Xenopus tropicalis: one gene and its partners. The protein of the gene in region 1 purifies or fractionates together with the protein of each later gene. This does not show direct contact. Links are inferred from orthologs where the notes say so. Each region holds a gene or a part of one and is shown on either strand. Other genes may lie near its edges. The genes, in order: klhl22, nudcd3 and nipsnap2.

What was found.
Region 2: the proteins of klhl22 (region 1) and nudcd3 purify together in Homo sapiens (co-immunoprecipitation; 3 studies listed by BioGRID and IntAct, counting the BioPlex papers as one, with this or other methods). This does not show direct contact. The link is inferred for Xenopus tropicalis from reciprocal best matches to the Homo sapiens genes KLHL22 and NUDCD3.
Region 3: the proteins of klhl22 (region 1) and nipsnap2 purify together in Homo sapiens (co-immunoprecipitation; 3 studies listed by BioGRID and IntAct, counting the BioPlex papers as one, with this or other methods). This does not show direct contact. The link is inferred for Xenopus tropicalis from reciprocal best matches to the Homo sapiens genes KLHL22 and NIPSNAP2.

Annotation. Positions count from the first base shown.
Region 1 is NC_030677.2:152,812,022-152,816,226, forward strand, and holds the start of klhl22 (kelch-like protein 22), read left to right. Parts: upstream 1-1,366; 5' UTR 1,367-1,467; coding exon of another isoform or gene 1,468-1,505; exon of another isoform or gene 1,506-1,583; coding exon of another isoform or gene 1,584-1,603; intron 1,604-1,665; exon of another isoform or gene 1,666-1,739; intron 1,740-1,818; coding exon of another isoform or gene 1,819-1,870; coding exon 1,871-2,097; intron 2,098-4,205. UniProt on the Homo sapiens protein: Substrate-specific adapter of a BCR (BTB-CUL3-RBX1) E3 ubiquitin ligase complex required for chromosome alignment and localization of PLK1 at kinetochores.
Region 2 is NC_030679.2:126,199,255-126,202,908, reverse strand, and holds the end of nudcd3 (nudC domain-containing protein 3), read left to right. Parts: intron 1-1,588; coding exon 1,589-1,777; intron 1,778-2,249; coding exon 2,250-2,360; 3' UTR 2,361-3,310; downstream 3,311-3,654.
Region 3 is NC_030678.2:98,148,826-98,152,479, reverse strand, and holds part of nipsnap2 (protein NipSnap homolog 2), read left to right. Parts: intron 1-2,308; coding exon 2,309-2,448; intron 2,449-3,654. UniProt on the Homo sapiens protein: Protein involved in mitophagy by facilitating recruitment of the autophagy machinery required for clearance of damaged mitochondria.

The DNA of each region.
Region 1 (4,205 bases):
AGGTAGTAGTTGGTTAATGTGGTCATGTATGGGCCCCTCGGACCAATCTGGCAGCTTATCTGCCCGTACATGGGGCCCTCCGATAAGCCTACACAACTGATATCTGGCTGAATGTTGGCCATTGTTGTATGTGTAGGTTTGATTTTCCCGACCTCGCCTAAAAAGTTGATCTTATAGTAAATGGACAGCTTTAGGGTTGGGGTGAAAAATTTTGAAGCTACTTACCACTAAACTCATACCGTTTCTTATTTTAACCAGAGGGCAAAATGATGTCTAGAACATTTTGCTAAATCTTTTTTTGGATCACTCCAGGAAGCCCTGACTGCCAGTGGTCTATCCTGTAAAGCAGGGCAGTTTACATTTTCAAATCAAAATGCCAACAAAAATAAAGATAACCAGAAGTGATTTTGTGTTTTGCTAGTTATTGGATGGGCTGCTTGAAAATACTTGGGAAAATAATATGCACTCCAAAGAGGGCAGACCCACTGGCTGCAGTTGGTAGAAGTCCTGGCGCTGCCCCAATTAACCAACAGGTTTAATATACACTGGTAACTTTTTGGAGGACTTAGCATTAATTTACTTTGGGGTCCCCAGTAGTCAGCCCAAGCGGACCTGGTGCTTCCTTGTTTATACCAGAGGACAAAATCATATATAGCTATGTCTACATCTGACGTTTGTGAAACCAGGCCAGTGGTGTTTGGCTCTCTATGGGGCCTTAATACAACCAAGGACACTGGTCTTCCCTATAAGGCAGGGATATTTATATCTGCAAATCAAAATTACGACGACATGATGTAACCATGCATGTTTAGCTAGAAAGCCAGCGTCAGTTCATCCTTACTTACTTATCAACTTGATATATTTCAAGGAATATGCTAAGTTTCCACCAGGCCTCGCACTGCCTGCCTTCTGACTGCTGGGGGAAGCAGCACTTCTCACAGTAGGTGAAGTATAGCGTGCATAGGGAATACAGCGCGTATAGTGTATAGCTTGCAGGAGAGGGAGGAGACGGATCACATGATCAGTCAGCGCAGGAAGAAACCGTTGCGGCACTCATCATTGTTAGTACGGGGTACATTCAACATTCCAGAACCGTAAAGGAACTTCCGTGATGTCATAGCCTTGTATTGCCGCTTCGCTACGCGGTCTCCTGTGTTGGCGGAAATGACGTCATGGCCTAGGTGTTGAAAGAGAGAGTCAGGTAAAGACTTTTGTGGCTGCAGGTAACGTCACGAAATGGCTCAGGTCACGTGCTGCGTAAATGGCAGGATCCCCCCCCCCCGCCCCCCGTCAGGTTAAGGGCGCTCAGTGCTCTTGCTCTCCTTCTCACACCTATTCAGACAGTTTGACCTAATGTTTACATCCGGTCGCCTCTGCTCTTAGACAACTGAGCTTCAAATTGTACAACTATAGTTATCCCCAGGCAGCTGTTCAGATCACATTAGAACTGCAACCCTAAACCCCAGGATGTGGGTATTTGTAGTCCAACAACTACATAGCTACAGGTCAAGGCTCCATAGTTTAACCAACATTGTACAATGTAGTGTAGTTACATATGTAAAGATCACACCCTGCTTTGGTTTATGTGTCCTGTTGGCTTAGGGTGGGTCATGTTTTATTTTTACTTTCACTTTTTGTATGTAGAGCAAAGAGTTTTCTGTTTATAGTAGTTACAAGCTGTAGTCAATTGGTAGTGCAAGTCAGTTTCACAGATGTGCCTAAATTAACTTGAGCATTTTGTGAGTACAAGATGTATCTCTCAGAATAAGCTCTTTACCTCTTTATTGTGGCGGCTGTTAATGTATTCCATTCTTACAGATGCTCTTCTGGTTCAGCTGTAAGTTTTGTGCCCAAGGGATTCCTGCCAGCCATGGCAGAGGATTTAGAGACAATGAAGCCAAGCCAAGCTCCCCAGCAGCCATCACTCCCGCAGGGCAGCAGCAAGACGTACCGCAGTGCTGAACATTCCCAAGCTCTTCTGAGTGGCCTGGTAGCACTCAGGGATAGTGGGATCCTGTTTGATGTGGTCCTGAAAGTGGAAGGGAAGAGTATAGAGGCTCATCGCATTCTCCTGGCTGCATCCTGTGATTATTTCAGGTTAGTGACTGGGTACTTTTGAATTTCTCCACGCTTTCTGACAGGCATCTGGTGATGTTCTGGTTTTATTGAAAAACAAAGCAAATAAATTGCAGCCTAGACACATTCATCTTCTCCGCATAATAAGTATGCTGATGATTATGTCAGTTTGTATTGATTTGCACTAGCTAAGTTCCTGGTACAACTGGGGGTGCCTCTGAGTTTTATTCATAGGTGTATTCATATTGTATAGGAGGTTACTCTTAACTGAAAGGTATTTTCTAAATTATTATTTCTAACTTTTAAGTCTTAATATGGAATTAAATTTCACATTTAAATTACGCGCAGATGGCATTTTAAAGACTGAATCACTGGGGGGGGGTTGCCAAATATTAGGCACCTGCCAGTGATTGTGATTGCATATCTGAAACTCCTGGCCAGTGATCCTGCTAGGAGAAAACTGCACCGACCAGTGGTTAACACACGTGAGCGATCCTCTTCCTTCCTTCTCCTTTTCTTTCCACTTTGCATGCATGAAGAAGGAAGAGGATAGCTTTGTCACATACACCCCGGCCGGTGCTGTTTTCTCCTAACAGGAGCGCTGGCCGGGGATCAGGTAAGCAATTATAATCACTGGGGGGTACCTAACATTTTGGCATCCCCCAGTAATTGTAACTTTCCTTCTCCTGTAACGGCATGCTTAAGCAATGACACAATACAGACCTTTCACATTTTCAGTGCAATTGCATTCAATTTTATCCTCCAGTTAAAAGATGGTAAGCTGTACGCTTCACAGATGGGCCAGACCAGTAGAACAGTAAGTCAGGCTTACACATAAAGGTCCCCTTAGTCAGTGAGGTTACCAAACAAGGAGACATATGCCTTATCTGGCCACCCACATACTGGGCCCAATTGGACTTATCCAATTGAGCTGGTGCACAGAAGGGAAAGTTGTGCTCACCACTAAATTTTTCACCATTAGGCGGGGGTGCAATGAGGTTGTGACTACATGCATATAGACAACAACAAGAGGTCCTCTGCACTCCCCCATTACCAATTTATATAGAACATTAAGACATTCTGTGCATTAAGCTACAAAGAAATGCCCTCCCCTCTGAGCAAAACTTGGATTGTTTGTTCATATATTGCAATAAACTTCAAGCTGGTCAACTATGTCAAAGTCATCCCTGGTCTGGCCAGTCCTACAGTCACTTTTATCTGATTCAATAAGAATTCTACTGCTTCAATATACATTTAACAATGGGACTGAGTTCCACCTGCAACTTGCTTTCAAGATTAAATCTCCCAAATGGTTGCCTTTTATTGGGATCACCTGACTGTAGCTGGGGAAGGGTAGTAGCTATAACATGGAGCTGGCCACTGTATGAGACATAGTGCATAGACAGCTTTAAAATCCTGTAAAAAATATGCTGATAGTTACTAAGATTGTGATATTTGTCATCCCACATTAAAATTCTATAACAATCTTTTATTTGTAGCCTGGAGTCTTTATTTATTTAGCACTGTGCATTAATATTAAAAAGGAAGATGACTAGTGACTTCTAGGATCTGTGCTTGCGGCTCCTCTCTGTGGAGTAATTGAAAAGCTTATTCAAATCCTTCATTCTTTGCGGGTTTTGAATATTGTTTTTGATTTGCATTTGATTTCTTTATCAAAGCAGCATCAAGGAATATGTGTTTCAAATATCTAAAATGTAATTTTGATTACTTTTAATTTTAGTAATACTTTGTTTTAGAAATATGCAATGCAGTCTGCTTTAGCTTTAGTTAAATAGTTAAGTCTTGTACCACAGTGAAATTTCTATAACCAGCCCTTAGGGTAGGGTCACTCGTACCCATGTGAGTCTAATTTAAAAGGCTCTCAGTAACCAGCATAAGAAGAAAATACATTATAGCCCATGTCCTTAATCCAAGATATGGTTCCAGATTTAGCTGAATCCCAGGTTTTTGTTACCAGAATATTATTCTGACCAATCCATTAAGCTCCTATGGTGATAAATGTGCTGTAAAACGTGTTGCAAAAACCACCTCCTCTTTCAATTGTTTTACCCTTTTACTTGCCTTCTGTGTTTTATCAAACAGTTCTACCCATTTACAAATTATGTTTT
Region 2 (3,654 bases), on another chromosome or scaffold:
TTAGCAGGACCATACTCCCAATAGAACTCCTAAATAATTTCTACACTTAGATCAATAGTCAGCTTGGCCATACTCCTTCCATTCATCTCACCACTTAATAAGAACAAGTTGCTGGCCAGCTCCTTGGTTACTACCCACTCCTCTAAACTTTGTGGTTATAGGTGGGTGTATAGCAGTTTTTAAAGAAAAATGAACTTATACATTATAAATACACTAAAGCGTTTGTTTTCTCTCTTATTGCATATTTAAAGTTTCCTATTCTTGGTACATCTGGCATTTGGGTGCTTTATGGTTCTGCCATTAAATTTTACTCTCCCTGCTAGTTTTCTTTTGGAAACATATTTGATCTCATGGATTTTGTTATTAATAATGATACAAGTTTGCATCTGTATTCCTTCCATACTGTATTAATAACTACTTCTCTGGTTTATGTAGTATTCAATTTGTATATATTCAACTTGTATCCTATTTCTGATTCACGGGTGTTTATTCAAGTTTATTTGCATTGACTCAAAGTTCCCCTAAACGCCTTATCCCTGTCTTGCTTTATGGCTAAGATATTAGATATTTTTAATTCTATGAGTGTCCATTGAGCTCCTAAGCTCTCTGAATAAACATTGTATAGCATTTCCGTGCTCCCCATATTTCATTTTCAGAAACTTCTCTTGCATCTTTCATCCTTCCAATGTAGTTTGTGTGTAGTCATATGGTAGATTCCACCAAATTTTCATTCACTCCCTTATCATGACACATCTTGATTTGCTGCAGTCCCCTGCTGTCTGGTTTTTCACTCTGCAGGCTGTCTGCTTTACTGTCTACAATAAATCCTGCTGCAAAGCTTATTCATCTTGCTAGTTGTTCCTCCTCCCCTGACAGTGCCTCAAGAGTCCTTCTAGAATTATATCTAAATAAACCCAATGCCTACCCAAATTCTTTACATTCCAGTAAATCACCACTTCATGAGTTTATGTTCATCCCATGATCTGCTTCTTTTACAACCTTTCTCCATTATGCCTTCAAGACTTCTTCAGGGGCTCTACGTCTCTCTTTTTCCCTTTGTGCATTGTAATACTTGCCTCCACATTTCACCCATTGCTTTCCTAAATGGGACTATAAAACGCAGGATGTTGGTATGCAGCTAACAGTTCTGCTTCAGGGTCCAAAATTGTCTCATCAGTCCTGCATTCTTCCCCTTTTTGTTCATTAATAATCCATATGCAAGTTTGCAACAAACCTATTATCATTATTCTTAATAAAGCGCCAACAAATTGAGCAGGGCTGTTACATCCTTCACATGAGTCCCTGCCCCAGTGGAACTTACAGTATTAGATCCCTATCATATTCACACACTATGGGCAGTTTTACCAGGAGCCATTAACCTGCCTGTTTGGAGTGTGGAGAAAACTACCCAGGGGAAACCCATACATACACGGGAAAATATACAAACACATAGGTGATGTTGCTCATGAACCTTAATTCTCTAGGCTGCCAATTAACAAAAGTGCTGCAACCCCTCCATGTATCATTCAGAACGTGATGAAACTTTGTTAGTACATTGTATTTAAAGTGTAGTGGGAACTCTCCACAGATCAGCTTGAGTAAGTGTGGCGAGGTTTGGTGGAATGCCGTATTGGAAGATGAAGAAAAGATTGACATAGACAAGATCAACAAAGAACGCAGCATGGCTACTGTGGATGATGAGGAACATGCTGTTTTGGACCGACTAACATTTGATTATCACCAGAAGTTGCAGGGGAAGCCTCAAAGCCATGAGTTGGTAAGCCCTAAAAACAAAAGTATCATGATCCACACATTTCCCTCCTTCTGTTCATACACTGATTCACATGTTACTGTACATTTCTAAAGTTCACTAGACTCCGTTTCCACACAGACAAACCTGATTCCTCAAACTGATAGGAAGTTAAATATATAGGTTGACCTAATCACAGCTATTTCTTTAACGTTTGGATGTGGCCACAAACAACTCATTTGGTTTCTGTGCTTTAGTGCATTGGAAATGATGGCCATAAGTCTCTCTTCCTAAGCACACAGTCACACATCAAACTGGGGCAGTGGTGGCCCACCAAGGCTGCAACTTGAAGGGCACCCCTTTGCAGTCATCAGGGCCTCCCTCCTGGCGTGCCCACCCCCAACCCTGGGGCCCACCGGGTTTTTCCTGGTGTCCCGCCGGCACACAGATTTTGCCTATACCTGTTGACATTGTATCTCCTCCTGTTTGTTTCTGACAGAAAGTGCATGAAATGCTAAAGAAAGGATGGGATGCAGAGGGATCACCATTCAAAGGTCAGAATTTTGATCCAAGCATGTTCAACGTCTCGCCAGGGGCTGTTCAGTTCTGAGCTCAATGGACACACACTGGAAATCCTCGGTGCCCTGGCTTCAGTTTGCTGATTCACAGCTGGGATACGATGCCTTTTATTAACCAAGTTTTATGTCTTTTGGTAAACATTTGACTTTGGTGCTTGCTGAGACTGGATGAATTTCTGTGTGAACTCGACATTTACACATTTGCAGTTACACATGCAAATGATTTGCTCTGTATGAGGAGGGATATGGTCAATCTGTATTAATCATAACAAACCATACCATGCATTGGCTCCAGGGGTTACATCCTCTTCTACTGGTAATGTCACTTAGCATGAAACTTGCTAAACTTTTATTCCCTTAGAGGAGACATATATCCATCTGTTTAATTTTTCTGTTTATTTCACAGTTTTTATACTGCTTATATCATGAATGTGTAACAGGAGCATCCTTTACTGTGCTCTCTGGGTGCTGGGCAGACAGAATAGCAAAAAAGCTTGTTTTTCTGAAGCGAGAAGTATTTCCTGATGCTTCTCTGCACAGTTCTGTAGCTTCTGTCACACTAAGTAATAGAACTGAGCAGAACAGTAGAGGGTGACCCCTTTACACATAATGATATTTGCAGTGTGCAAACTACTAACATAAAAAAGTTCATGTAAATGAAAAAAAAATGCTCAGAAGCAGAATTTGACATTGTTTTATGGATGGGTGTATGTCCCCTTTAATTGTAATATTTAGCAGGTAGATGGGGAGCGCACTGGATCAAAAATGATCTCATAAAGCAGTTTACAGATGTCCGTCCCACATGACATGAATAAAACAACATATTTATAAATCGTTTGAAGCTTTCTCTATGGGTAAGATTGTATCCATAAACATAGTATATGAACCATATTGTTTAAAATTGTGTTTACATGTATTTAAAGGGGAAAGCCACAGTTTTGTTTAGTTTGGGTCAATAAATAAGAATTGCGTTGGAAATGTATTCTGCCTATTGTTTTAATTAGAAAAAGAAAAAAAATGTTATTTGTTTTAAACAGCACAAATGGTGAACGGTTTCATTTTATAGATAATCCCACTTCTTGGTTCCTTAGTGCAAGTGTGGGCTGATTTACAAAAATAGCTGCTAAACTGCACCAACGTAAATACCCATGGCAACCCATAAGATTGTTGCTTTCCTTTTTTTTAACTTGTAGAAGACCTGTTCAAACTCATTTCTTATTGGTTGCTATTGGCAACTGTACTTGTGCAGCCCAGTACCTATGTTTGTTCATAAATGAGCCCTATTGGGTCACATTCTTGTATAGTGAATTTTTCCTCAGCTTCTTG
Region 3 (3,654 bases), on another chromosome or scaffold:
CAAATGAGGTCTGTTACAAGTTAAAAAAATAAAAAGGAAAGACCTGCTTAGTTGCTGTTGGCAAATCCAGTTGTGCAAGATAGCATCTAAGCTAGTAAACAAGACTTTTAATATTTCCCCAGATTTGTGTTATAGGTCACTTTAAACTACAGCTTGAAAGTGCCCTAAATACAGGGTCGAACTGGGCCGTTGGGACACCGGGAAAAAACCTGGTGGGCCCCGATGGCCCAGACCCGACCCGACCCTTGCTGGCACTTCCCCTGCCCGACTGTTCCTCCCCTGACACGTTAAATGTATGCACGCTCAGGGTGGACGTGGGGTGGGGGCCCCTGGGGGGGTTAAAATGAGGTCTGTTACAAGTTAAAAAAATAAAAAGGAAAGACCTGCTTAGTTGCTGTTGGCAAATCCAGTTGTGCAAAATAGCATCTAAGCTAGTAAACAAGACTTTTAATATTTCCCCAGATTTGTGTTATAGGTCACTTTAAACTACAGCTTGAAAGTGCCCTAAATACAGGGTCGAACTGGGCTGCTGGGACACCTGGAAAAAACCTGGTGGGCCCCGGTGGCCCAGACCCGACCCTTGCTGGCACTTCCCCTGCCCGACTGTTCCTCCCCTGACACGTTAAATGTATGCACGCTCAGGGTGGACGTGGGGTGGGGACCCCTGGGGGGGGTTAAGGGACACGGCCGGCGGGGGCACCTGGAGGGCCCCTGGGGCAGGGGCCCCGGTGGGCCCTGCACCCTCCAGTCCGACCCTGCCCAAATAGCATAATTAAACCACAGAAATATAAAGTTTAATAGTAAAGAAAATTAGGGTCAAGGTAATGCCACCCATAACTTTTTCAGGTGCTTTCACTGCAGCCCATAAATTTGGTGTTAAATTGAGAAAACAATGCAACTGCATGACAAGCATTTGTTCAGGATGAACAAATATGGGGGTAGAAGTACAGCAATTTTACTATCATGTTCAGATGTTAAAAAGATAACAGGTTCTCCATCACTATATACTACAGCAGTGACAATATTGTGCTACATAGACATCCTTACTGGGGAATGAAGAAACATTTAGCTTGGGCAGTATGCCAAGGCCTTGCGAGTAGAATAGTCGTGTAGGCCTATAGCCTAATAGTGGGTTTATAGAGATTACTTCTATAATGATTAGAAGTTATAAGCCAGCCTTGCCTGCTGCCAGAAGGTTTTGCAATAGGAAAAAACATCCCATTGTATTTAAGGTAAAAACTGTTATGTGCAATTGTGAAGCAGTAAGAAGGTAATGCTAAGAACAAGCAAAAAAGAAGAAATGAGCGTGCTTCTCATATAAATAGAAGTCAAACTGACCTAGTCTTACTTTTGGTTATGAGAAATCATAAGATACGATGTCTGATAGCTAAAAGCACAAAAGAAAAAGAAAAACAGTGATCGGGTAGTATAGTGGCAACCATGGAATTCAAAATGCCTGGTAGTCCATACAATTTTTAAGAGAACATTGCCTCAGACAGCATTTTACCAGGGGTGGCAAATAGCCACATTTCTGTGTTTTTCTGGGTTATTGTGTCTCAGTTATATAACAATGTATTATCTCTAAAGTGCTCCATCCTGTACTCCAGCAATAATCCATGAAAACAAGACTTATGGTGCAACAAACTCTATACAAGTTGTAAATCATGTGGAGTGAAAATATATTGAAAAACATTACACTGTGCTCAAGATTGTTTACTGCAGGCAAAGGGAGCTTATATAATAATTTAGTCCTTTTATGGCTTTCTTTTACTAAGGTTGCAGACATCACTGAAGAGAATGGTAGATTCTTCTATGCTGTTTTTCTGTCGCTCTGGTTAGAATAGTCTCTGGCACACAGTTTGAAGGACATTCTGCATGTGCCGGTCACCTGTTACTACAGACACATTCCCTAGAGCTATTTAAAGATGCAGTTAAATTCGCCTTCAGTCCATTTTTCATAAGGGAAATGTCACCCCATAAAGGGTAATAAATTACAAATTACAGGAATCTCCCTCAGACTCTATTTTAAACAAATAATTACATTTTTTTTTTAAATTCCCTTTTCTCTGTAATAATACAACAGTACCTTGTACTTTATCCCTACTAAGCAAGAATTGAGAATGTTGAAGATTGTAAAGCATTTATGTTTATATAGTTATAGTGTGGGGAGATAGACTTAGGCCAGGTGTATTATATTGTATATAGTAATATAAACTCAACGTGCTGCAAGAGCTGTATAACTTGGTCCTTTTGCCATGTCCATTTTAAATCTTGCTTCCCAGCTCTTACTGATATATTGTTATTACAGGGGTCTTGCATCATCGAGTCAGAAAGCCAGAGAAGACAGCTGGTTGCGATCACTCTTTGTTCGTAAAGTCGATCCACGGAAGGATGCTCACTCAAACCTTCTGGCCAAAAAGGAGATCAGTAACCTGTACAAAATTCAGTGTAATTATTACCACTTCTCAGTTACTAGAGCATACATGAAGAGAAGAAAATACTTTCATACAGAAAACCTCTAAGCTGGTATTCCTAAATGTTTTTTGTGATCTACTAAACAGAGGGCAGTTCTAGTGTAGCCTTTCAGACTTTCAGTGGGATGTTTAACCATTTTGGTTAACATCTTTTTTCCTGCAATTACATAGTTATTTTATGATTAATAGAACACCCTCTTCTCATGCAGTGTATTTGGAGTATGGATAATCCCATAAGAGGCAGATATATATATTGATCTATATATTTTGATCTATATAGTTCTGGTACAGGTGCAGTGCACTTCCCTTTCAGTTGAAGGAAACTTGCTCTCAGAAAGTCCCCAAACACTACCCATGGAACCAGAGCTATAAGACTGGACTGAAGTGTGAGATGTTGGTAGAAATGTTAGTGAAGGATTTGGTGATTATTGTTTTATGTATTATGGCTTATATATACTGCAGACTCCAGTCTACCTTCAGTAGCAGTATTCTTCACTGGCATCCAGGCCACACTACAGTTAGGATGAAGGACCAAAGTCTTTAATGTGAACAGACCTTTACAAATTAGGAAAATAAGATATTTACATAGCATCTTGGTTTTATGCGGCAAATTATTTACAATCTTTATATTGCCTGAAAGAAGCTTTTATATTGTATATTGATCAAGCCACTTTCTAGTTAATATTTTCATGTATGGCATGAATGGTCTTTCCTTCTTCTTGTTAATTATTAGCAAAACTTCACTATCCTCATATAATTTTGTGTGCTTTATGCATTGATTTATGACAAATATTTGTTTTAAATTATGATATGACTCACTAATGTAACAGCACTACTGCCATATTTTCCATAATGGTACACATGGAGTTTGCACATATTTATCACCTCATTAATGAAAAACCCAGAGAACAAAAGGCCAGGAAGTCTGAAGTAGTTAGCATCAGTAAGGGTTATGTTAGCAACATTGATATTAAAGGAAGACCCACAGAGAATGACTGCAAGGAATCAGAGTGCAGTCAAGCACCTTTTTGTTTGATGTGTGGCCAGCAGTAGACATCAGGAAACAGCAAATCCTAAATAGCAAGTAAGCGTCATGTTCAACATTATGTGATGTATGTGTGATTTAATCTTTCAATATGGCTATGGCCTCACTTCTGGGTTGATTTTGACCTTTTAGTCC